Lepisosteus oculatus: one gene and its partners. The protein of the gene in region 1 purifies or fractionates together with the protein of each later gene. This does not show direct contact. Links are inferred from orthologs where the notes say so. Each region holds a gene or a part of one and is shown in the gene's direction. Other genes may lie near its edges. The genes, in order: probable E3 ubiquitin-protein ligase MGRN1, ankyrin repeat domain-containing protein 46 and mc1r.

Evidence for each region.
Region 2: the proteins of probable E3 ubiquitin-protein ligase MGRN1 (region 1) and ankyrin repeat domain-containing protein 46 purify together in Homo sapiens (co-immunoprecipitation; 3 studies listed by BioGRID and IntAct, counting the BioPlex papers as one, with this or other methods). This does not show direct contact. The link is inferred for Lepisosteus oculatus from reciprocal best matches to the Homo sapiens genes MGRN1 and ANKRD46.
Region 3: the proteins of probable E3 ubiquitin-protein ligase MGRN1 (region 1) and mc1r purify together in Homo sapiens (affinity purification with western blotting; 3 studies listed by BioGRID). This does not show direct contact. The link is inferred for Lepisosteus oculatus from reciprocal best matches to the Homo sapiens genes MGRN1 and MC1R.

What each region holds. Positions count from the first base shown.
Region 1 is NC_090714.1:16,015,451-16,022,676, forward strand, and holds the start of probable E3 ubiquitin-protein ligase MGRN1, read left to right. Parts: upstream 1-4,144; 5' UTR 4,145-4,603; exon of another isoform or gene 4,604-4,804; 5' UTR 4,805-4,818; coding exon 4,819-4,906; intron 4,907-7,226. Other genes in the region: ubald1a (UBA-like domain-containing protein 1), read right to left, coding at 1,293-1,352, 1,912-2,019. UniProt on the Homo sapiens protein: E3 ubiquitin-protein ligase. Mediates monoubiquitination at multiple sites of TSG101 in the presence of UBE2D1, but not of UBE2G1, nor UBE2H. Plays a role in the regulation of endosome-to-lysosome trafficking.
Region 2 is NC_090703.1:40,735,214-40,742,431, forward strand, and holds the start of ankyrin repeat domain-containing protein 46, read left to right. Parts: upstream 1-4,153; 5' UTR 4,154-4,272; intron 4,273-4,990; 5' UTR 4,991-5,022; coding exon 5,023-5,333; intron 5,334-5,434; coding exon 5,435-5,593; intron 5,594-7,218. Other genes in the region: cysteine protease ATG4A, read right to left, coding at 2,151-2,160.
Region 3 is NC_090715.1:16,475,770-16,483,580, forward strand, and holds mc1r (melanocyte-stimulating hormone receptor), read left to right. Parts: upstream 1-4,996; 5' UTR 4,997-5,764; intron 5,765-6,070; 5' UTR 6,071-6,156; coding exon 6,157-7,134; 3' UTR 7,135-7,228; downstream 7,229-7,811. UniProt on the Homo sapiens protein: Receptor for MSH (alpha, beta and gamma) and ACTH. The activity of this receptor is mediated by G proteins which activate adenylate cyclase.

The sequences.
Region 1 (7,226 bases):
CGTGTGCGGCAGTAGCGAACTGTGGTTGCAGGCACTCGAAGGAGCGCGCATGGCTCTACAGCTACGCTTCTGTGGAAGTCGGGAGGTCGCACACGCCCCGTCAACAGGAAACTAAGAATCAAGACAACGATAGTCCTTTTCATCGTGCACTGTAGTTCTGCTATACTGCAGGATTTCCTGAAAACATATAGCCGTGTTCTCTTTTATTGTGTTCTGTCGAAACAATGCCCAAAACAAGCGTTAGAATTATCTGTAGCGGCAGCTTTTTCCAGCCTCCTGTGCGCCGATGACAATAATGATGATAATAATAAATGTAACATTATAAAGATGTCAGGACTGAACCCAGAAACCGTTCATGCCGGTAGAGAGCATGTTGCGCTTTCTTGGAAAGAAAGCTTTTGCGCTGACAATCACAGCCCGAGAGCTGCCGGCGATCAGGGCGCCCCGTAAAGAAACGATTCACAAATAAGCTCCGTTTTCACTATGTCCACATCGCTGGCGTGAAACTGCACTCCCACCGCAGGACGACACGTCACGTCCTACAGAAATAACCGGGACTTGCCGTGTATTTGAGCGAACTAAATCGCGGGGGGGTCGCAGATCCTGCTCCAGCCATTCATTTGCAGGTAAAAGCTGCAGCCAAACGCTGTACCAGTTGGGTGCTTTTTTTTTTACGTGTTGTCCTGATACGGGAAAACAGTTTACTACCCTGTTTCCAATATGCCACAGGACCCGCAGATTGTGATCCTGACCCAGCGCGGCGGTCAGTGACACAGGGGAAGAGAAGAGTCCGGAGCTGCTCTGGTGTGTAAGTAGAGGGGGGAGGGAGGGGAGAGACTCGTGTCGAAACTGCAGACCGACACCATGTTCACAGTTTTCCTGGAATCACCCCCCCACCCACCACCACAACCTCCTCTTCGGAGACACGTTTTCAAAACCGCAATTTTAAAAATAAATAAATAACCGGGCCGGAGAAGGAACCGGTCCTCTTGTAACCCGAGTTGAACGAACTCGACGGCTTCCTTGCGATAGCTCCGATCTATCATCTTTTTTTTTTTAAAAAAAAGCCTTTTTTTTCCCTCCCCTCCTCCAGACAGAAAACTAGAAAGCTAGGAGAGCGGAGTCGGAACCCAAGCGTGCGCCGTCTTGTTTATGTTTTTATCCAGCTTCTAGCCCCGGCAACATGGCGGACACATCATCATCATCATAATCATAATCATAATAATAAAAGTACTACTAATCCCGATAATAAAGCACGGACATGCATGCACTGAAAAAAAGTATATACTCACCATCTGGTGGTGGTGGCTGTACGGGATGTTGGCTTCTTGAAAAAAGGCACTGAGCGCAGTCTGCAAGGGGAGAAAGCGTGAATTTAAGAGAGGCTGGTCTCGCCGGGGCCGCTCGCCGCCTGACAGCCCGGCGTGTCGCTGCTCGGGGGGCCGGTGCCCACGGTCACCAGGTCAAGCGAGCAGGGGGGGTCTGGTGTGGTGAGGTGAGGTGAGGTGAGGGGGGGGTCTCTCGCAGTCACGGCACGGCGAAGGCAATACACGACGGCCATATATTGCACAACACCGTTCCTGCCCTGTGTGAGCCGCGCAAGGGGACTGTGGCACCCAGGGCACATTCTGATGGGGGGGATTTCGAGCTATATGGATGCACTCGTCCCCTCCTGAACACAATCATGCTCGCTACACGTAGCACCACATTTCTGCTAGACGACGCGGTGAATAAGAAAGGGAGCTCGGGTTGACGATCTCTTCAGTCCCGGCTTTCGACATCATTTGCAAATCAACCTTCTCGGGCAAGACACTAAACATGGCAATCCTACGCACAAAGCACCCGCTCTCTCCCGCGGATAGACTGTGTGTGTGTGTATATATATATAAACACCAGCTCCAGAGCCCATACCTCGAACTGCCAGTGTGCCGCTTGCAAGAGCTGCTTCGCCTGGTCCGCCGCGCACCCAGCCGTCAAAACAAACTGATTGATCATCACTTGGTGCTTTAGATCATCCATAGTCGCCGAAGCGGTAACCGTTTCAAGCGTGTCGTGTGATATTCTTTCTGCGTCTCGGTCCTTGCTTCTGTTTTTTTTCTCTCTCTCTCTCTTTCCCTTTCTGTCTCTTTCAGTGATCCACCATTACAGCCGGCTCAGCAAACACAAATATTTACTGTAGGATCGCCAGTCTAGAGGGCTCCTTCTGATTGACTGCTGACGGCAGCGAGGGGGTGGGACTGCCCGCTTGTGGGATTTGTAGTTTCTGAAACCCCCCGCTGCCCCCACACGTGTTTTCACGCAGTGTCAGAGAGCTCGTTTTGCACGACAGCCTAAGAACAGAAACTCCGGCGATTTCTCTGTTTTCGCGCGGGTCTGAGTGAGGAGTTTAAAAACTAAGCCCAAATACATACTATCCAAGTTCAATACAGTCTTAAATTCGGTTTATATCCAGAATGGTGACACATTAAGACGGCGTTTTTTTTCCCCCCGATAACATTGAATTGGCCATATATTTACTGTATGACATTTAAATGGTATTTAGAAATACGTTTCACCTTTGGGCTCGACACGGTTTCTAAACTGTATATCTGAGTGTAGAAACGAATCCTGATTAGCTGTAAGTGCAGATCTCCGTGCCCCCCTTGTGTTATTGTTTGCATTTTGGACTACAAATCCCGGCACCACACGCTTTGTTTGTAAAATTCTAGAAAGCAAAACATTTTTTTTTTGTGAATGACGGCCGCTCCCGTCCAATTCCTGGGCGCTTTGTGTCACTATCTTACCATATTAGGCCAACAAACCTCTGAGCGCCAATGAAAAGCGAGCAGGGGCGGGGCCAGGAGCTGTCAGCTGAGGGGCGCTGTGTGTAAGGCCGGTGTTGTGGTCCGGGAGTAGGGGATCTGCGCCAGTTTTGTTAGGACACGCTTGACCTCTGTGCCAATCGGCCGGACGGGCGTCCTCCTATGGCCGAATGTCAGATGAAAGACTGTTTTTTTAAATGAGTAAATTCTCGGAGTTTGCCGATGAAAATATGTCGGTTCCTTCTCGCATGTACGCTATCCCGTGTGGTTAGTTTTATTCCTCGATTCCGTTTTGACGCCTGAAAGACAACACTGTTTTGTTCCTGGGACTACAAGCCTAACAGTCTTTTTCAGAGCACTAGCAGCATTATTTCTGAAGAGCTGGTTGCTGTTTTTATTCAACAGTACGGCCGAGCAGAGCCCATTGTGTCTGGTGTTTGTGATCCTATCTGTTCTAGAATGAATGTCTGAGTGTGGCCCAGGTGAATAGAGCTATCGTTTGTATATCATTCTGCATGTCTGTTTTATTGGTGTGTGTTGCCTCTGATTAATATTCCTGGAAGGGAAGTGAGGGAGAGAGAGTCACGCATTAAACAAACCCCATGTCAGCCTGTACAATCTGGACAGAAAGACGCTGGTATTTTGCAAAGAGAACAATACACTCCTCACTATCAGCATATCCATAGCCACGTCACAAAACATCGCAATCAGTTTTTTGTATATGTCAACAAATACACGGTTGTAACTTCACATATTGTACAATTCTGTCCACCCATCAGTCTGCTAACCTTTTCGATCCAGTTCGGTTCAGAGGGAACCGGAGTCCGTCCCAGTAAGGTGGGATACATCCCGGGCAGGACACCAGTCCATTGCAGGACAGACAGGCACAGGCGTACACACCAGGGCCAGCTGTTTTTTTTTAACAGTGCAAGTTAACCTACCAGTGTGTCTGTGGACTGTGGGAGGAAAACCCACGCGGACACAGGGAGAACATACAAACTCCACACGGATAGGAATCGAATCCAGGGCCACAACACTGCACAGGGATGCCTAACCCCTGCGCCCCCTCGGGCCACGATTAAGCAGTATTTCCCATGAGTATACTTTTCTCTAAACTCGTATTAATCGTTTTCCATCTGACGACTTATTTCTTTACAAGTCATGAGCTGCGTCAGCATGCGCAGGCTGCAAAGGGACAGGTACACGTTTATTCCCCGCTGGAAAGAGAAGAGACACAACGTTTCGGCTGCGCAACCTTCTTCAGAACACCCAAAGAAGCATGGAATAAACTTTTCGTTGTTCCTTATTTATTTGCAACCCCTTTGTGAAGATATGTAGTCACAGAACAGTGTTTTTTTCATACCTATTTACACAGCTAGCTAAGTTAAGAAGGGGTCACAGCGGCTAAGCGCGAATATGATCGTGTTAATTCGGTCATAGAGGCAGCGAGTGAATCTCGACGACACTACACCCAGTCCTTTCCTTCTCCTCGCTCGTAGTTAAGTAGTGTTGTAGTTTCCATGGCATGTTAAAGGTATCGAAGAGAGCATGGCAGCCTCCTTCTGAAAACTACAAGACCCACAAGCCCCTGCCCGTTCCGCGCGATGCTGGGAGAGTTCACGTATGTCGCGCGACACCCTGTTGCTGGGACGGAAAAAAAAAAAAACAACAACCCCGTTTCTCTCCCGTCTCCGTTTGTGTCTTCGAGGCTTCGGACTTCTGTGTTTTTCCGGATGAACCTCTGACGTCGTGGGACTATAAATGTAACTGAGGAAATATCGCTGTGCCTCATGAGAGAATTGGTAAAAAAAAAAAAGGATTAATCGCCGATCCCCGAGAAATCTTGGAATTCTCCATCATGTCCGACGGATTTCTCTCCGTCTGAAATCGTTGTCGTAGTCGCCGCCGTTTTCCTTAAATCGCAGAACAGCGTTCAGTCCTGAAGCGACCGGCGTCTCGTCGTCTTTTATACCGCTGCTGCCTGTGTTTTTACCGTTTGTAAGGTCGTGCGAGAAGCATGGGGTCGATACTTAGCCGGAGAATCGCGGGAGTTGAAGACATTGACATCCAAGCAAATTCCGCCTACAGATACCCTCCCAAGACCGGTAAGGACCCTGTTTCAGTCATGCCAACCCCTGGCTACTGAGTGTGTTGTCAGAGGTGCCTTTGCGTACCGCCCCAGGAGTCTAAGACTTTGTGTACAAACAGGAAGGCGGCCCCGGGGGGATCGGGTCAAAGTTCTCGTCTGATAGTATTTATGGGACACCTGCGCGTTATTGATGACCTGCCTCGCCTGTGAACTTACCGAGCAGTGCCATTCGAGTAGAAAAGAAAATCACGTATTTGTATCGGCGCAAAATGAAAATCACACCAGCACACTGGGTTTCTGTGTGTTGCCTTAACGGGCGTTTAAAAATGGTTTGTGAAGTGCTTGTGAGAATGGTTGGGTGATGTATTGGAAAGACAGCGTGGATGCAAGGTGGTCTTTTACTTTAAATGGAATATTGCACGGTATAAAGTTTTGTTGTAAAGAGTTTTTGATATTTCATCACTAATTTCATGTTGCGTATAACCGAAGTGTTGCATGTACGCCGGTGATGCAATCAGTTTGGGCGAAAAACACCTGCTTTCCCAGCGAGGATTGCTGGTGCCATCCGCTGCTGTCATGACGACGGGAGTCGCCTGCAAGCGGGAGCTGAGGGCATCTTGGGCTTGTGAAGGTGCTGCCCTTGCTTGTCCCGCAGCGTGAGGGAGTGACAGCGGTCGATCACGACGTGACCCGGGTCGGCTGCCAGGCCATGAGGCACACATAGCAGGACAGTAATAAAACCGATGTCCCGAATCCCCACCGCGTACCGTGCAGTAGCAGGGATGTGGCAGTTTTTTTTTCCTGTCGCACAGGAGACTGTATCAAAAGGGAGAACGAGACGGGGTAAATCTGGTTTGTAAAAAAAAAAACAAGGGGTTTTTGGAAACGGCTGCCACGCTTGCTTTCCATAGAATAGGGCTGCTGGTGCTATTCCATAGAATAGCACCAGCAGGCAAAGCGAAGTGGAGTGATGGAGCTTGACGCCCCCATGCTGGACTGATCTTAGCTGCACGCTGACGGCCTGGGGTTGTGTCCCACCTGCGCAGGGGACGTGACCTTGGGCCCGGCGGAGCTCTTTCAGTTCCCCTCAGCCGGCGGGTGATGGCTGGGGCACCTCCGGCGCGTTCCTGTTTGGTGTCGGAGCTGGGCGGGAAAAGGAAAGTCGTTCCGCGCCCGTCCGAGCCAGGCAGGGAGGCCGGGCAGAGCCGCCAGAGAGTCGCAGGTTTTAAAACTACAGGCGCCACCGTCGTGGCGAAACGGGGACGATTGTTAGGAGATCGAGGATGCTGAAATTTCTCCGCTGGCCCTGAGTGCTGCTGTTGTCGTTGTTGTGAAAAGTTAGGGTGTGGTTGTGTGTCAGGGCCTGTGGGTGGGATGAGGGGAGAAAAGGTGGCAGCAGTTTCACCCCTTGGGCTTGGCAGGCTGGGCTGATGTGAGTGACTTTAAGATACAGTTCTGGACTTGGCGTTTTCCTGGGAAAACCCTTGTCTGTAGATTTGGGTTTAAATTCTGATCTGAGCAGATTGGGTAAGCTCTTTTTGTTGTTTTGGGCCCTGGGGCTGTTCTGGAGGCAGAGGAGACAATCTAGGTGCAGTTGTAAAGCAATCCCCTTATATTTCCGTGGTCTCTATGCCATTTACTCCACGATGTTGTCCATACAGTATACTGTAATGGAAATTTTGAAAGATCCCCCATGACTTTTCTGTCTGGCATTTCCTAGCGTGTTTCTCCAACACAGGGGATGTTGTTAAATCGTGAAAGAAATTACCCTGAAATGTGTCATCAAATTAGACGCTGTCAGGGATGAGCCCAGTTTATCAACAGTATTTCCCTGCATTTATACATTACTTTTCATCCTGGTGGGCATCAATGTACTTGACATGTCAGCAGCACCCATCTGGGGTGCTGAGTGGAGTTTAGCTGGAACAGGCTTAACATGCTCACTGTTACGAGCACTGCTGCAGCATCTTCAATGACCATGCTGTGGGGCCCTCGGTTCAGCCTCTCAGTCCAAAGGAGAGCACCTCCTGCAGTAGCGTCCCCCATACGTGGGCATTAGTTTGGCAATTCAGGACCAGAGGGAGGCACGCCACCTACTGGTCCACCAGTACCGACACAGCCTAACAGCTGTAACATGGTTTTCCTTGGATGTCTTCCATCTCAGTATTAGCATCTGAGATCTGGCGAGAACACGCTACAGGGTGGTAACACTGCTGCTTCATGAGCGATGAAGTACATTTGCTGGCTTCCATGTTTCAGAAGAACTGCTCGGGTCTCGGCCGCTGGGCTGGCATCTTCCTTTCTTTCAGAGATGCCTGACTGTAAAATTGCACCAT
Region 2 (7,218 bases), on another chromosome or scaffold:
TCCAGAGGCCTCTCTCCTCCCGGTCTCTCATGTGACCCCTGACACAGAAGCACAAAGCATGATCCCACCAGGAGGGACAGGGAAAACCGAAATCAGGGTCCAGGACCCAAGGCTATCAGGCTACCCATGCAAGTAATAATAATAATAATAATAATAATAATAATAATAATAATAATAATAGCAGCTTACACTTATATAGTGCTTTTCTTGACACTCCACTCAAAGCGCTTTACAGGTAATGGGGACTCCCCTCCACCACCACCAATGTGCAGCCCCACCAGGATGATGCGACGGCAGCCATAGTGCACCAGAACACTCACCACACACCAGCTATCAGTGGGGAGGAGAACAGAGTAATGAAGCCAGGACCAGGCTCATCTGCTTAGCTTCAGTGGGTTGCTAGTTGTGAGTTGCAGCATTGAACCTCTGTAGACCAGGTTGAAAAAAAGGCACATTTTCCTGGGTAATCAATTTGCCTACATAAGTTATCAGCAGCCATATCACCCTGGAACTCACAAGTGGTAACCCACTGAAGCTAAGCAGGTGTGAGCCTGGTCAGTACCTGGATGGGAGACCTAAAACTAAGGTTGCTGCTGGAAGAGGTGTTAGTGGGGCCAGCAGGGGGTGCTCACCCTCTGGTCCATGTGGGTCCTAATGCCCCAGTATGGTAACGGGGACACTATACTGTAAACAGGCATAGTCCTTCGGATGAGATGTAAAACCGAGGTCCTGACTCTCTGTGGTCAATAAGAATCCCAGGGTGTTTCTCGAAAATAGTAGGGGTGTAACCCTGGCGCCCTGGCCAAATTTCCCATTGGCTCTTACCAATTAATAACCTCCTAATAATCCCCATCTATCAATTGACTTCATTACTCTGCTCTCCTCCCCACGGATAGCTGGTGAGTGTTCTGGTGCACTATGGCTGCTGTCACATTGGTGGTGGAGGGGAGTCCCCATTACCTTTAAAGCACTTTGAGTGGAGTGTCATATATATAAGTGTAAGGAATTCTTAATTATTATTATACAAGTAACCCTCTCTGCTGGTCAAATGAATCTCCCAACCAATTAACTGACTTTTTCAGTCAATAGGTTTAAAAGACAGCACGATCAGAAACAGCCGCATACTGTAGTTCAGAGCATCTCTGAACCTCTCCTGCACATCTGCGAGTTATTGAATACCCGTCAGAAGATCCTAGATCAGGAGAGGTGCTTAAACTGTGTATTTTAGACCGGGACTGTCCAATTCAGAACTGTTAATCCGGACACGCAAAACTGAAAGATCGTTGGGGTTTAAGTGGTCCGGTTAAGCCAGTAACCCAGACGGTTTTGGTTTTCACGAGCAGCACTTGAATGACAGCTCGCAGATACTCCGCCCCTCCAGAATCCGAGCTAGGACAGCCCTTTTATTAGACGGAACCTCAAACTCCGGTCGGCTACATTGAATCTGTCCTTTCCGCAAACACTGCGACTGTGCAGTTAACACGGAGAGACAATAAGAAAACTAGCCCCATGATGACGCCGCAGACATTATGCTGCGCCTGAAATCTCCGAGACTTTCTACATCTGGAAAAGCCAGATCTTCCGGGACTTCAGAGATTTGGAGTATCTGTATTACAGATTCAGGCGTGTTTTTGAAAACAGAAAAAAAAAAACACAGTCGATTTTGCGAGCTGTACCAATGGGACAGATTTTCTACTGATGTTGCTATTTATTATTAGCTATTAAATACTAAACGTATTCTGACCAATGCCAGAAATTATATCAAGGACCGAAAAAAATGAGAGGATACACCGAAACGAACATCGCTAAGCAAAAAAAAGGGGTTTTATTTATATACCGGCTCTATATCTTAATTGCCCAATCCCACCAAAAACCAATACAAACTCACATTAATTAAGTAATAAAAAAGATCGTTGCTTTAAGGAATTCAAACACAGAGAATCCAATCTGTAAAGTTTACACTTAACGAGGGCCAGATAGAAACAATACAGAAACTTCCAACTCAGATGTGTATCCAGAAACGCAGTGTTAAAGATGAACGGAATTCTTTCTGTACGGTTTTGCTGAAGAGCCTAATTAATCATGACAAAAAATCACTTTTATGTTTAATCTTTACGACGATTTTTAGCCTCGGAGAGTGATATTCTTACCTGCCTCCATCCTCCGGCTGTCAACTGGGTTTAAAGCGGTGAAATAAAAAAATAGTGCGCGCTGCACTGTGGGGAATGTAGTTCCTGGTGGTGGCATCTCTAGGCGACGATAGGGATCATAAACTACAACTACCGGTAGGCAATGTTATGGTACTAGGCGTTAATAGAAACTGAAAACACTGAGGTGCGTTGTGGGTATTGGTGTTTCACGGGTAGGTTTCATTTCCAGTGCCTAATTCCGTTATTTTTATTACTAGTACTACTACTACTACTACTCCTACTTCTTAAAATGCTTTAGAGATTTTGTTCTTCATCCAAAAGCAAAAACACTCCAGAAACTCTTGTCCAGAGATTTATGTCTTTCCACCACCATGCTTGATAAAAGAGCAAGTACAGTCCAGAACGGTTGCCCAAAAAAGAATGAACCCTAAAGTGTAAACAGATACTGTACTCGACAGTAATATAACTGCCCACCCTCTTCAAAACTGTTCCTACTCTACACTTTCATTGTATGATCCAGTATTACTGCAATTTCTGAGCTTTGTATTGTAATGCTTTTCTTTTAACAACAATAGTCTGTACTTTTAGATCTTGGAATTTGTAGCTGTTAGTGTTTTCGTGTGGTGGTTGTGCTACATAACATGCTACATGTTATTGCAGCGCACTGATTTTTTACATATCACATTTTCTTTTCTCCAGTATAAGAACTGCACAGGATGGGCCCATCTGCGATATATAAATAATTTCTTTGATACAACATAAAGGCAAAGTCCGACAAACATAATCAACTATGAACACATGGGTTTTTCTAAAGGTAATACGGTCATCTTCAGTATTTTCCCAGTGTCTTAAATACAGTACTTGTTTTTTCATTGTATAAAACAATCAATGATTGGTTGCATTTGATCCCAAAAGTGCTTTACAAATAGGAGGGGACCCACATCTCTCTCACTAAACTACACCATCCTGCACCAGCAATACCAACATACAGCAGACCAGGTGGTGAGGAGAGAAATTATTTCACCATTTAATTTAGGGAAGACTTTAAGAAGGCCTGCATTTCCACATTGAATTGAATGTATTCAGAAAACTGGGGTTAATATCCCTAAAATTTGGAAAAGTGCAATTTATTTTTACATTTAATAACCAAGAAGTCAGGAACTCAGTTTGAAAGTCTCAATGAAAGACGGCACCTATTTCAGCACACTGTCTCTGTCACCAGGCAGGGACATTGGATTGTGAATTATTATAATGAATGTACCCAGCATCTATATCATACTGTAACTCACAACTGGCAATCCACTGAAGTGCAGCAGGTTTGAGCCTGGCCTGCACCTGGATGGGAGACCTCCTGGGAAAAGCTATAGTTGCTAGTGGAAGAGGTGATAGTGGGGCCAGTAGGTCCTGACTCTCTGTTGTCATTAAAAATCCCAAGGCACTTCTTGAAAAGAGTAGGGGTGTAACCCTGGTATCCTGGCCTCCTAATAATCTATGACTTGGCTTCATTACTCTGTTCTTCAACCCACTGATAGCTGATGTGTGGAGAGCCTACTGTCCACAGTTTGGTTGTCATTTCATCGTTAAGGTGGATGCTGCACATTATGCAAGAAATTCTTTCTTCTTATTATTATTAAATTCTGTTATGGGTGAAGAGAACCACTTACTGGTCCACCAGTGCTACTTATAGCAGGTGCCCAGTTTTCATGGCGATCTACCATTCCAGTACTGACCAGGCCCAGTCTTCTCAGCTTTTCAGATCTGGCAACACCTTCCTAATTTGCCCTCTACTATTACTACATTGAGTCTTTATACCTTATATGATGTTAAATTCTATTTTGAAAGCTTGTAATGATACCTTTTTTATTTAAAACGGCGATTCTGACTCGTAGATTTAGATTGCTGTGTCTTATATAATGATGGGTCAATCTCCCTTACAAGTGAGTAGGCGGCTCCTGACTGGGGTAACCATGGAAACGAGACAGCTCCTACTGCCGTAAAGCACCCTGATGTAGACGTGAAATTGTCAGGTCCGTTTACGGGTGGTTTGTGTCGTCTTAGATCGGCAACAAAATAAAAAGGAAAAGAGGCATATTTTTTCGGTTCTTTTGCAAAACATAATCAGGTAATGGGTAATACTGCTGCTTTCGGGAAGTTTGCTTAAGACTGCTTATGTAAATACGATGCATGTAAGCGAGTCGTCTTGATGATGAAGGTTTTTTGAAAGGATGTTTTAAGCAGAATCCAATTTAGTGGATCTGTGACGGCTTAGGTGCATCCTAAATTATTTCTTTTCTTTGCTGGAATGTATTTATATTTTATACGATTCTTGGCGTGCATCTGTGCTTAAACATAGGCATCACCCGTTAAGGTACGCTTCGGTTTAGCTCGGGAGGTCCAGGCGATGTCGTGTGTTTATTAATTTGTGATGTAATGGTTTACTATCGGCTCTCCGTTGCGGTGCAGAGTTGGGGCGTACCTGTGGGATCGGTGTGTACCCAGATGAGCGCATCCGATCCGAAGGGGGCGGATGTGAACTCTCCTTTTCTGCGCTTGATGGAGATTTCGTTCTTTATGTTACGATGTTTATGGGACCGCACTCGTGACGCAGTAATTTTGTATTAAAAATAAAAGCAAATCTGGAAAAATGTATTAAATCTTTTCTCGCTTCGTTAACCGTACATGTTTTTTTTAGGGTTAATGTCCAAGTGATGACAGGCTTTCATAGCCCAGTGCGAGTTTGAGGGTGTGACAGACGCGCCGCCTATCTTACCCCAACACCACTTCACTAAAAGTTAACTTTCCAACACACCCTTCCCGGCGCTTGTTTTCTTGTCCCGCAGGTACCCTGGACTTTACCGACACCCACTCAGACATGTCGTATGTCTTCATCAATGACTCTTCCCAAACGAACGTGCCCCTGCTGCAGGCTTGCATCGACGGGGACCTGAACTACTCGAAGCGCCTCCTGGAAAGCGGCTTCGATCCCAATATCCGGGACAACCGCGGTCGTACGGGGCTGCACCTGGCGGCGGCCCGCGGCAACGTGGAGATCTGCCGGCTGCTGCACAAGTTCGGGGCCGACCTGCTGGCCACGGACTACCAGGGCAACACCGCGCTGCACCTCTGCGGCCACGTCGACACCATCCAGTTCCTGGTCTCGAACGGGCTCAAAATTGACATCTGGTAGGTGCAGACCCCCGTCTGTCCCATGTCAGAGTGCTGGGAACTCTTCCGCCCTTTGGGAGGCTGGGGCCTCAACCCGTCTCCTTGTGTTCCTGGCACAGCAATCACAACGGCGCCACTCCCCTGGTGCTGGCGAAGAGGAGAGGGGTCAACAAGGACGCCATCCGGCTGCTGGAGGGCCTGGAGGAGCAGGAGGTGAAGGGCTTCAACCGGGGGGCACACTCCAAGCTGGAGTCCATGCAGCTGGCCGAGAGCGAGAGGTGGGTGTGGGAGGAAGAGAGAGCCTTCTGGAGTACTGCTTGTGTACCGTTCTTTTGGGTCTGGCAGTCTGCCGAGACCCAGTTTCTAAAGTTCCGGCCAAAGCTGACACCAAAGCTGTAGTACTTTGTCTTGTTACTTGTGTGTGATTTTGGTAGTATGAAACAGAATGGTACACGAGGAGTGCACCTGTGATTTGTAGGCACATTTACTGAAGCAGAAAGGTTATGAGACTTGAGCTTTCTAAAGGCTATTCCATCAGTGCCCTCTGCAGTTTGAATGGAAACAGCCTCATAACTTTACTTCTTTACCATCCGGAGTGGTTGATGTTAATGTGTTTTGCTAGCTAATGATCAACTTGAAAAGACTTCTCCCTTCCTGTACCGGCAATACTGTTTAATGAGAAAAGAGCTTCCAAAAGTTTTACCTCAGATAACCTGAGAACACGTAAATGGCAAAACCTTTCAAAACTTGATTCCAGCATCACATCTGCGTCATCTGATACTGGTTCAGTTCAAAAACAGGGCATTGGCAGTAAATGTCAGCAGCCATATTACCCTGCAACTCACAACTGGCAACCCACTGAAGCTCAGCAGATGTGAGCCTGGTCAGTACCTGGATGGGAGACCTCCTGGGAAAAACTAAGGTTGATGCTGGAAGAGGTGTTAGTGGGGCCAGCAGGGAGTGCTCACCCTGCAGTCTATGTGGGTCCTATTGCCCCAGTATGGTGATGAGGACACTGTACTATAAAAAGGTGCCGTCCTTCTGATGAGATGCAAGAGAGAGGTCCTGACTCTCTGTGGTCATTAAAGTTCCCAGGGTGCTTCTCGAAAAGAGTAGGGGTGTAACCCCGGTGTCCTGGCCAAATTTCCAATTGGCCCTTACTAATCATGGCCTCCTAATAATCCCCCTCTATGAATTGGCTACATTACTCTGCTCTCCTCCCCACTGATAGCTGATGTGTGGTGAGCGTTCTGGCGCACTATGGCTGCCGTCGCATCATCCAGGTGGATGCTGCACATTGGTGGTGGTGGAGGGGAGTCCCCATTACCTGTAAAGCGCTTTGAGTGGAGTGTCCAGAAAAGCGCTATATAAGTGTAAGCAATTATTATTATTATAATTATTATTATTATTATTTCTCAAAATGAGAAGGGATGGAACCCCGGTGTCCTGTCCAAAGTTTGCATCTTGGCCTCCTAATAATCCCCATCTATGAATTGGTTTCATTACTCTGTTCTCCTCCCCACTATTGGCTAATGTGTGGTGAGTGTTCTGGTGCACTATGGCTGCAGGTACATTGGTGGTGGTGGAGGGGAGTTCCCATTACCTGGAAAGCGCTTTGAGTGGAGTGTCCAGAAAAGGGCTATATAAACTCAAGCAATTATTATTATAAATGCCTTACTTTCACCCCAAATTACAATAATCTGTGCTGTAAACGTTAAAGAAGCAGTTTTAGACACTGAGACAATAGAATGTAATGGTAGTGTAACTGTTAGTGTTGTTGCCTCACAATTCTTTGGTGAATTTTTAACCACCTTATGGAAGGAGTTTACATGTTCCCCACCAACTCCCCTTCATTTCTGGTATGCCCTCACCTTCCTATGACTTCCTGGTGAGGGTCATTGGT
Region 3 (7,811 bases), on another chromosome or scaffold:
CTTTGCTGCATCTCAACATTATCTTGACAGCTCATCAAGCCAAATCCTGTGCCGAGTTCCACAGTGTTAAGCAGACAGAGCACGTTAGTCTCTCTGGCCCCTGAGTGAGATGCTGGTCTATCATAGCAATCAGACCGAGCAATGCTGGTCCCAGTTTCTACAGCTGGGTGGACTGGAGGCACTGGGGTACAATACCTCACTTGCAGTACAGCAGGGTCCATGGTGGTGCATAGCATTAACCCATAGTTAATGAGACCAGAAAGTGACTCAGTTCTCTGTGTTGGTCCCATTGAGACAAACTGAGCCAGTGATATACTGTATTTGAAATGGTTTTCCTTGTTTAAGTGTGCACTGCTCAGGGCAAAAAATGTTTCAGTGGGGAGGCATTAACTGCAAATTATGCAAAGATTTTGAATCTGTTGTTTAACCAGATATGTCAATTGCAAACAAACGATTATTTCCAGCGAAGACCTGAGAGGGGCCCTTTTATATATCAGGATATGAACTGGAGTAATCGGAGCGAAGGACTTTACTCAAGCAGCACAGCAACATTGGCCCGGGGATCTGAGCCAGCAGCTGTCTGGGAAACACGCCAGAACCACTGAGCCACAGTTCTGTGCTTTCTGCAGGGGGCGCTGTTGTTTTTTTGTATTTCAACATCAGGGACTGGTGAGTTTGGTGGGTATTATCACTGCCCACTATTGCCCCCAACAGAAACACACAGAGAAGAACCTGCAATCTTGGATTCCCTCCATGGTGAGGTCCATGCCTGCAGGTTCTCCAGCCTCCTCAGTGTCCTGGTGTCCTGTCCAGGGTGCATCCTGGACCCTGTCTTGCGCCCATGCCTTCCCAGGACAGGCTCCGGCTGCAGCTCCCCTCACAGCCCTGTACTGGATAAGCGGATTAGGAAATGGATTGATGGATGTTGATCCAGTGATCAGATGAGGTTTAAGGCAGAATGAAGATCAGGCTGCCAGACACTTGTGAGGGAAACAGAGAAGTGATGACTCATGCAGTCTTACCCTGCTAAGTTGGATAATGATTATAATCTCCTTGCTTTTGATCTACAAAAGTCAAAACTGAATCCGTCAAAAGGCTTGATTGTTTGGCTTGAGTTTAGTTATCCCCTCCTTGTCCTCCTCTCCCCAGCTCTTTGTCACTGTTCATTTGGGAAGACATGGACATGCTGCTGCTGTTGAGGTACAGTGTTTGTTTTTTATTTCACCCTGTGTTGTCTTGATCAGTTCTTTGTATTTCCTCCTGACCTCAATACTCTCTTGAAGATGCAGCTGAAGAACAGCAGTGCCCTTTCTTTTTTTTGTAATCAACATTTTTATTGGATTTTCAAACAGATTAAAAAACAAATAAAAACAAACATCAACACTACAATCAACATTACAGTACCAATACAGCTATACATTTTTATCTCAACCTAATGTAATACAAGTTTAATACACGTTAATATAGATTACACTGTATGTGTATTTACTGTTTTAAGAAATAAGCTTATTTCTAACAGTTATGGAAATCCCTTCTCCAGATTGGGTCATTTTAAGAATTTCCTAGCTGTTGTACAACTTAAGTTCACAATATACTGATATGTGAGTATTCAGTGTTTATCTGGCACATTGTCTGGGCATAACCATAGTTGTAGAATTTTGTTAACTGCTGTGAAGCCAACAAAAAGCAGTCCTTTATGAATTAAAACACAAATTAACCAAATAATGGTCATTTAACAAGCAAAGACAAGGATCTGGTTTGAAATGTGTATCAGTTAGTTTAACTAACTTAGCACATACAGAGCCTTTTGCTTGCGGTTTGTACATTAAAAGCCAGAAAAATAAGTGTTCCTTTTTCTGATTGTTCATTCAGCCCAGGTCCATGTGGTTCACCCAGTGTGAAATATGCTGCATGGCAGCTCTGTAAGTGGAAAAGGTTTGTTTTTCAAAGACACAAACCAGCACAAACGGATGTGGTGGGTTTCATCGTTAGTGCTGCTATTAGGCTGGGGGGTTCACACTTCACAGGTCAGCAAGGCCAGAATTAACTTGGAGCTGACAAGTACTACTGTGTGCATATGATCTGATTGTTCACGGACTGCACTTCAGACAAACAGTTACTATTGTTTAACTCAATAAATGCTTCATCCAGAAAAGTAGAATCTTTATGATAGGTGATAGACAGAACTGTACAGGAATGTTTTTGTTGTTGTGTATTTTTTGTTCCAGTTTGGGCTTTTCAGAGAAAGGTTTTATGTGCGTTCTGAAATGTGAACATTCACTCCAGCAGCCTTTTAAAAACTCATTACTTCACTGCAGGATGGAAGCATAATTGCTCTTTCTGCGCTCTTTTTAGAGAAAGGGAATTTATGGTTTATCGGATTAGAATTGGGAATCAATCACAGAAATGTTCTGAGTGAGGGAACTGCCCTTCTCCCAGGAACCTGCTTCAGTGAATTTTCTGTTTGTACAATGTGATAGCCAGAAATGTTTTTTCAATGATGGTAATTCTTCTCATTGACATAAGCCATGTAGCAAATGGAACAAATTTGGATAATACATCAAAGGCAACAGCTATTTTAAGAGGCCGATGACTGTTTTATGGTGTGCAGGAGCTCTTACGTAACCAGAATTAAATGATTTCATTCTTATGCATCTCTCGTTTAACTGCAGACTAACTGCAGTGTATTCTATAGACCACATCCATCCAGCCATTTTCCAACTGCTCCATCCCATTCAGGGTCGCCAGGGAGCTGGTGTCTATCCCAGCAAGCAGTGGGCGCAAGGCAGGGTCCATACAGACACAGACACACACACTTACACCAGGACCAGTTTCCCAGATGACAGTTAACCTACCAGCATGTCTTTGGACTGTGGGAAGAAACCCACTCAAACACAGGGAAAACATACTGAATCTATAACAGACAGGACCCCAGGTCCGGTATTCAGCTCAGGGCTCCAGTGCTGCAAGGCAGCAATGCTGGGCACTGTGCCTCTGTGCCAAACACTACCATCTTTTATTATTGTTGTTCTAGTTATACTTGCTTTCATCTGACCAATGTATTTTGCCCATCACTGCAAGCTCTTCTGTTAATATGGTAAACTGCAAGAGAAAGATTAACACAGTCTATAGCTACATCTTTCAGAAGAGTTTCACAAGGGAGGGGAGACAGACACACCACCTAGCCTGTTTGATAGTAGTAGGTAGTTACTTAAAGAAGCAAGTAAAGGTTTATTCCGTGTTTTTGGAGGCTTAGATGTGTCTCAAACATAATTCTTATTTAAATATCAGCAACGTGTAATCACGTTGTTTAGCAGACCACTGTTAAGAAATTAGGAAAATGTTATGAAATTATAAATAATTCCGAGCTATGCGTTTGCTAAAAATAACTCAAATTAGAATGTTAAATCTAATTACTTTTCTCCATTAAAGGCATGTATCTTTTTTAAATCTTGAAATTCTTTCCGGTTTTGAATGCGCTCTTTCATAAGAAATGAGCCCCAGGATAACAGTAGTAATGTGACCGGAGATATAATTTATCCAAGTCCTTTAAAAATCGAGTCTGTTTAGTTTGTGCAGGGAAAGTGGTGTAAGCAACGAGCCCGCAGTACTTAAAAACATTGTTCTGCTCAAGTTGGAACTGTAATTTAAATTCTAACGATTAAGACAGACGGTAGCTAATTTTCAAAGTATTGCCATCGTGCTGCTCTAGAAAGAATGTACAGTATTATCCTAGAAGTGTTCCTAGACATCTCAGACATCGTGCTCTTTTGAGCATTTCGAAATGCGGTTCGATTAGTGACCCGCCCTTTCACCCAACACCGAAAACCCCTTCTGTTTTTTTGATGGCACGACACGTGAAGGTCGACCACAAAATAATGTTAGTGTCTCACTTCTCGATTTCAAAGAACGTTCGGTTCGGTTCGGTTCGGTTTGTGTAATTGCGATACCAATACAATAGCACTGTTTTTTTAAATATAAAGGAATATGTTCTTGATTGTTTTTCAATTTCTTCATTTGAAGGCATCCTTTCTTAACTTCCATAGTCTTTAAACTACTAATTTGCACAGGCTGCTGATTAAATCAGTAACCAGCTTTGAGCAGTTTGTTACAGATCGTTAACACGTTAGATTGGTAGTCAGTACAGTTTAGTTTTATACTTTAGTCAAGACAAGCCCGTATTTTACAATTTGTTAACTGCAAATGTTCAAATATAATACATACTAAAGATTACTCCATATTTTTTTCTTAATTAAATTCATAGAGGACTAATGTATTATCAGACTCAACGTGGAAATGAAACAGTAATATCTATTTAGTAAATGTTCAATTTACACATTTATTTTAGTATCAGGGCTGAACACTGAACGCGTCATGTTTAACAAAGTATCAATCATTACATTGTAAGAACATTTATTCAAAATTTGCTACCGCAATCTTTACAATTAAAGGTTGTGAAAATGTTTTAATGTTTTAAGTTCTGGTTCTGCGCTCATTTGGCTGTTTAATTTGGCTAATTTGGCTGTGAACGATCAGATGTGTTTCTCACTGCTGTAGCTCTCGCAGGTCAAAGCGCACGACACGACACACGGCGTGTTCACCTGTTGTTACGCGTCTGTCTGACTTTATTTTTAGGCGGGTTAAGTAGCTTTAAAACCAACCAGTTTTAAACCAGTTAAAACCAAAATAATTAGTTTACACAAAAAGGTAACTGTCAACACATGCCTAGTAGCTCCAATATTGCGACCGCGACACGAGTCCGAGTGGCTCATTCAGTGTTTGTATTAATAAAAAATAACTTTAACAATTTTCGGAATTAAGAAAAATATTAACTCCGCTATGTTCATATTTCAGTGCGATTTTGTGTCTCAAACAGCGAGACTTATCAGTCAATTGCGCAATGAAATCAGTAATTCCTGTAATAAGTAATGATGTTCGCTGCCATCAAGACTGAAACGGTTTTTAATCTTTTAATGATCCTTGCCCAGAGCGCCACAAAGCGCCGAGTCTTAGTGTGACATTTATTTTCGCAAACGACGACGCAGATGTTAGCCATACGAGTTTATTGCCATACGGGACCTCAGCATTGAACTGAGCTGACTTGGCTTCATGAAAATGACATTTTTTGGAGGGTTTGTCATGTGCTTGCTCATCACTGGGATAGGTGGAGCCTGAGCAAGACCCCGACCTTTAAAGAAGAGCGAATTGTCTCTTTTTTTTCAGATATATTATATTTAAAGATGCTTCGATTGTCCTTTTTGTAACGATCTTCACCAGTTAAAGATCTCGTGCGAGCTGGGACGACAGTTCGCGAGTCAATCCGCCTGTATCGGCTCTGACAAGAAAGCGGCAGCCTTAAGAAGGGAATTCCTAGCAGACACAACATTCTTCATTTTTTAATATTTAGATTAATACCAAGGGATGAGATGCTGACAGGCACCCGGGACTTCGGGAACGGTATATATTCACTCCTGAGTTTAAAGGGAAATTAAATATATTTTTTCAATCTACACGTGCAAATAAAATCCGGGATCTCATTAATTACCTCAAAAGTCTAAAAGAAAAGGCAACGTTTTTGACCTGCGGGATATCTGCTGTTCCTATTTCCTGGGACTGGAGGAACGCATCTCTGATGTGCACTCAAGCACCTGAGCGACGAGACCCAGCTGAGGTGAGTTCGCCCGGATTCCTGTTTCTGCTCCCGAGCAGCGAATTGCCTGCAAGCCACCCAGAGCTACCGAAACAGCAACACGAGAGCTAAGAGGTAAAAACGAATGTATATTAAATTTGTATAACCTTCCTTTTATTGTACTTCTTGCGGTTTTGTAGTGCTTTATGTGCGTTAGGTGTTGTTATATCTTGTTCTGTAAGGTGCACTTTTTTTTCTGAAAGTAAAGATTTAAAATACATTTAAAATAAAGTGACGGATTGGATACTTGTAATGCACACAGACCAGTATTAGCAAAACTTCGCACCGATATCAATATCAAATACTAAAGACGATGAGGGTTTGAGATGAAATGACACGCCCTTTAAATGGAGGCTTTCATTCATGTATATTTGTTTTTAGTGCAAGGCCATAGAGAGCAACTCAGACTGACAGCCCTGCTTCCATCGAGCACGTCCACACTGTTTCTTGCGGCTGAGCCAAAGGACATGAACGTTACAGCCTTCAATCCTCTCATCATGAAACACCTTGAGGTCAGCCCCCTGGATTCCACGCACTGGGAGAACACCTCTAACGTCTCCCTGGGCAGCCCCAACTCCACCGGCTGCGAGCAGATCACAATCCCCCACGAGATCTTTCTGACTCTGGGCTTAATTAGCCTGGTGGAGAACATTTTGGTGGTGCTGGCCATAATCAAGAACAGGAACCTGCACTCGCCCATGTACTATTTCATCTGCTGCCTGGCCGTCTCCGACATGCTGGTGAGCGTCAGCAATGTGGTGGAAACCATGTTCATGCTGCTGATCGAGCAGGGGGTGCTGGTGGTGACCCCGGACATGATGAAGCAGCTGGACAACGTGATCGACATCATGATCTGCAGCTCGGTGGTGTCCTCTCTCTCCTTCCTCAGCGCCATTGCGGCGGACCGCTACATCACCATCTTCTACGCTCTCCGCTACCACAATATCATGACCACCCAGCGCGCAGTGGCCATCATTGTGGTCATCTGGGTGGCCAGCACCATCTCCAGCACGCTCTTCATCGTCTACTACAACTACACAGCCGTCATCATCTGCCTCATCACCATCTTCTGCACCATGCTGGTGTTCACCGCGGTGCTGTACCTCCACATGTTCATCCTGGCTCACATCCACTCCAAGCGCATCACCACCTACTACAAGAACCGCCGCCAGCACCAGGCCACCAGCATGAAGGGGGCCATCACTCTGACCATCCTGCTGGGGGTCTTCGTCATCTGCTGGAGCCCGTTCTTCCTCCATCTCATTCTCATCCTCACCTGCCCCAAGAGCCCCTACTGCGCCTGTTTCTTCAGTCACTTCAACCTCTTCCTCATCCTCATCATCTGCAACTCCCTCATCGACCCCATCATCTACGCCTACAGGAGCCAGGAGCTGCGCAGGACTCTGAAGGAGCTCGTGTTCTGCTCCTGGTGGTTCACCATGTAGGTGGTCCTCCACAGAGACAGGGGGAAGGAAGAAGGAAAAAAGCAAACAAAATGAACTCTTTTTGGAGCAGCTGGCATGAGGAAGGGCTACAGTGTGACTCTGTTTGCTCTGTTTGGATTTTGCGTGGTAGCTCTTTTCCCCTTTCCTTCATTGCAGTCTGCTGAAGCATCAGTAAAAGTCATGATGTAACGGTGAAGAAGTGGGTTCTTAAGAGCACCAGAAGTCAAAATATCCAGCCCTTTTAATGTTGAATAGAAAAAACAACATAAATTGCGTCTAAGGTTTGTAAAGTTTTGTTATAAAGTAAAGTAAAATCAAACAATCAAATAACTATATTTTGGCGCCTTTGAAACTTTTTTTTTACATACTGTAACTGGTGACTTCTTACTGGCTGAATGTACTGAAATGTTATTTTTTCAGACTGAAGGGGAAGGCTAAGGAGCTGATATTTCTAAAACAATCATGCACGTCTTTAAAATTGTAAGTCTGAAAAATAAAAATGAAAAACTGATCTACTCTTCTAAAAGCAAACCATTCTACCACGTGAATTGGAATACAATTCTCTAAAATAAGGGATATCAATAAAGCAACAGTTAGCCTTCTCTTTACAGTTTGGCTAAAATTTATAATGCATGTGTATATACATATCTGAATCTAGGAAGATACGTCTTCTTGCA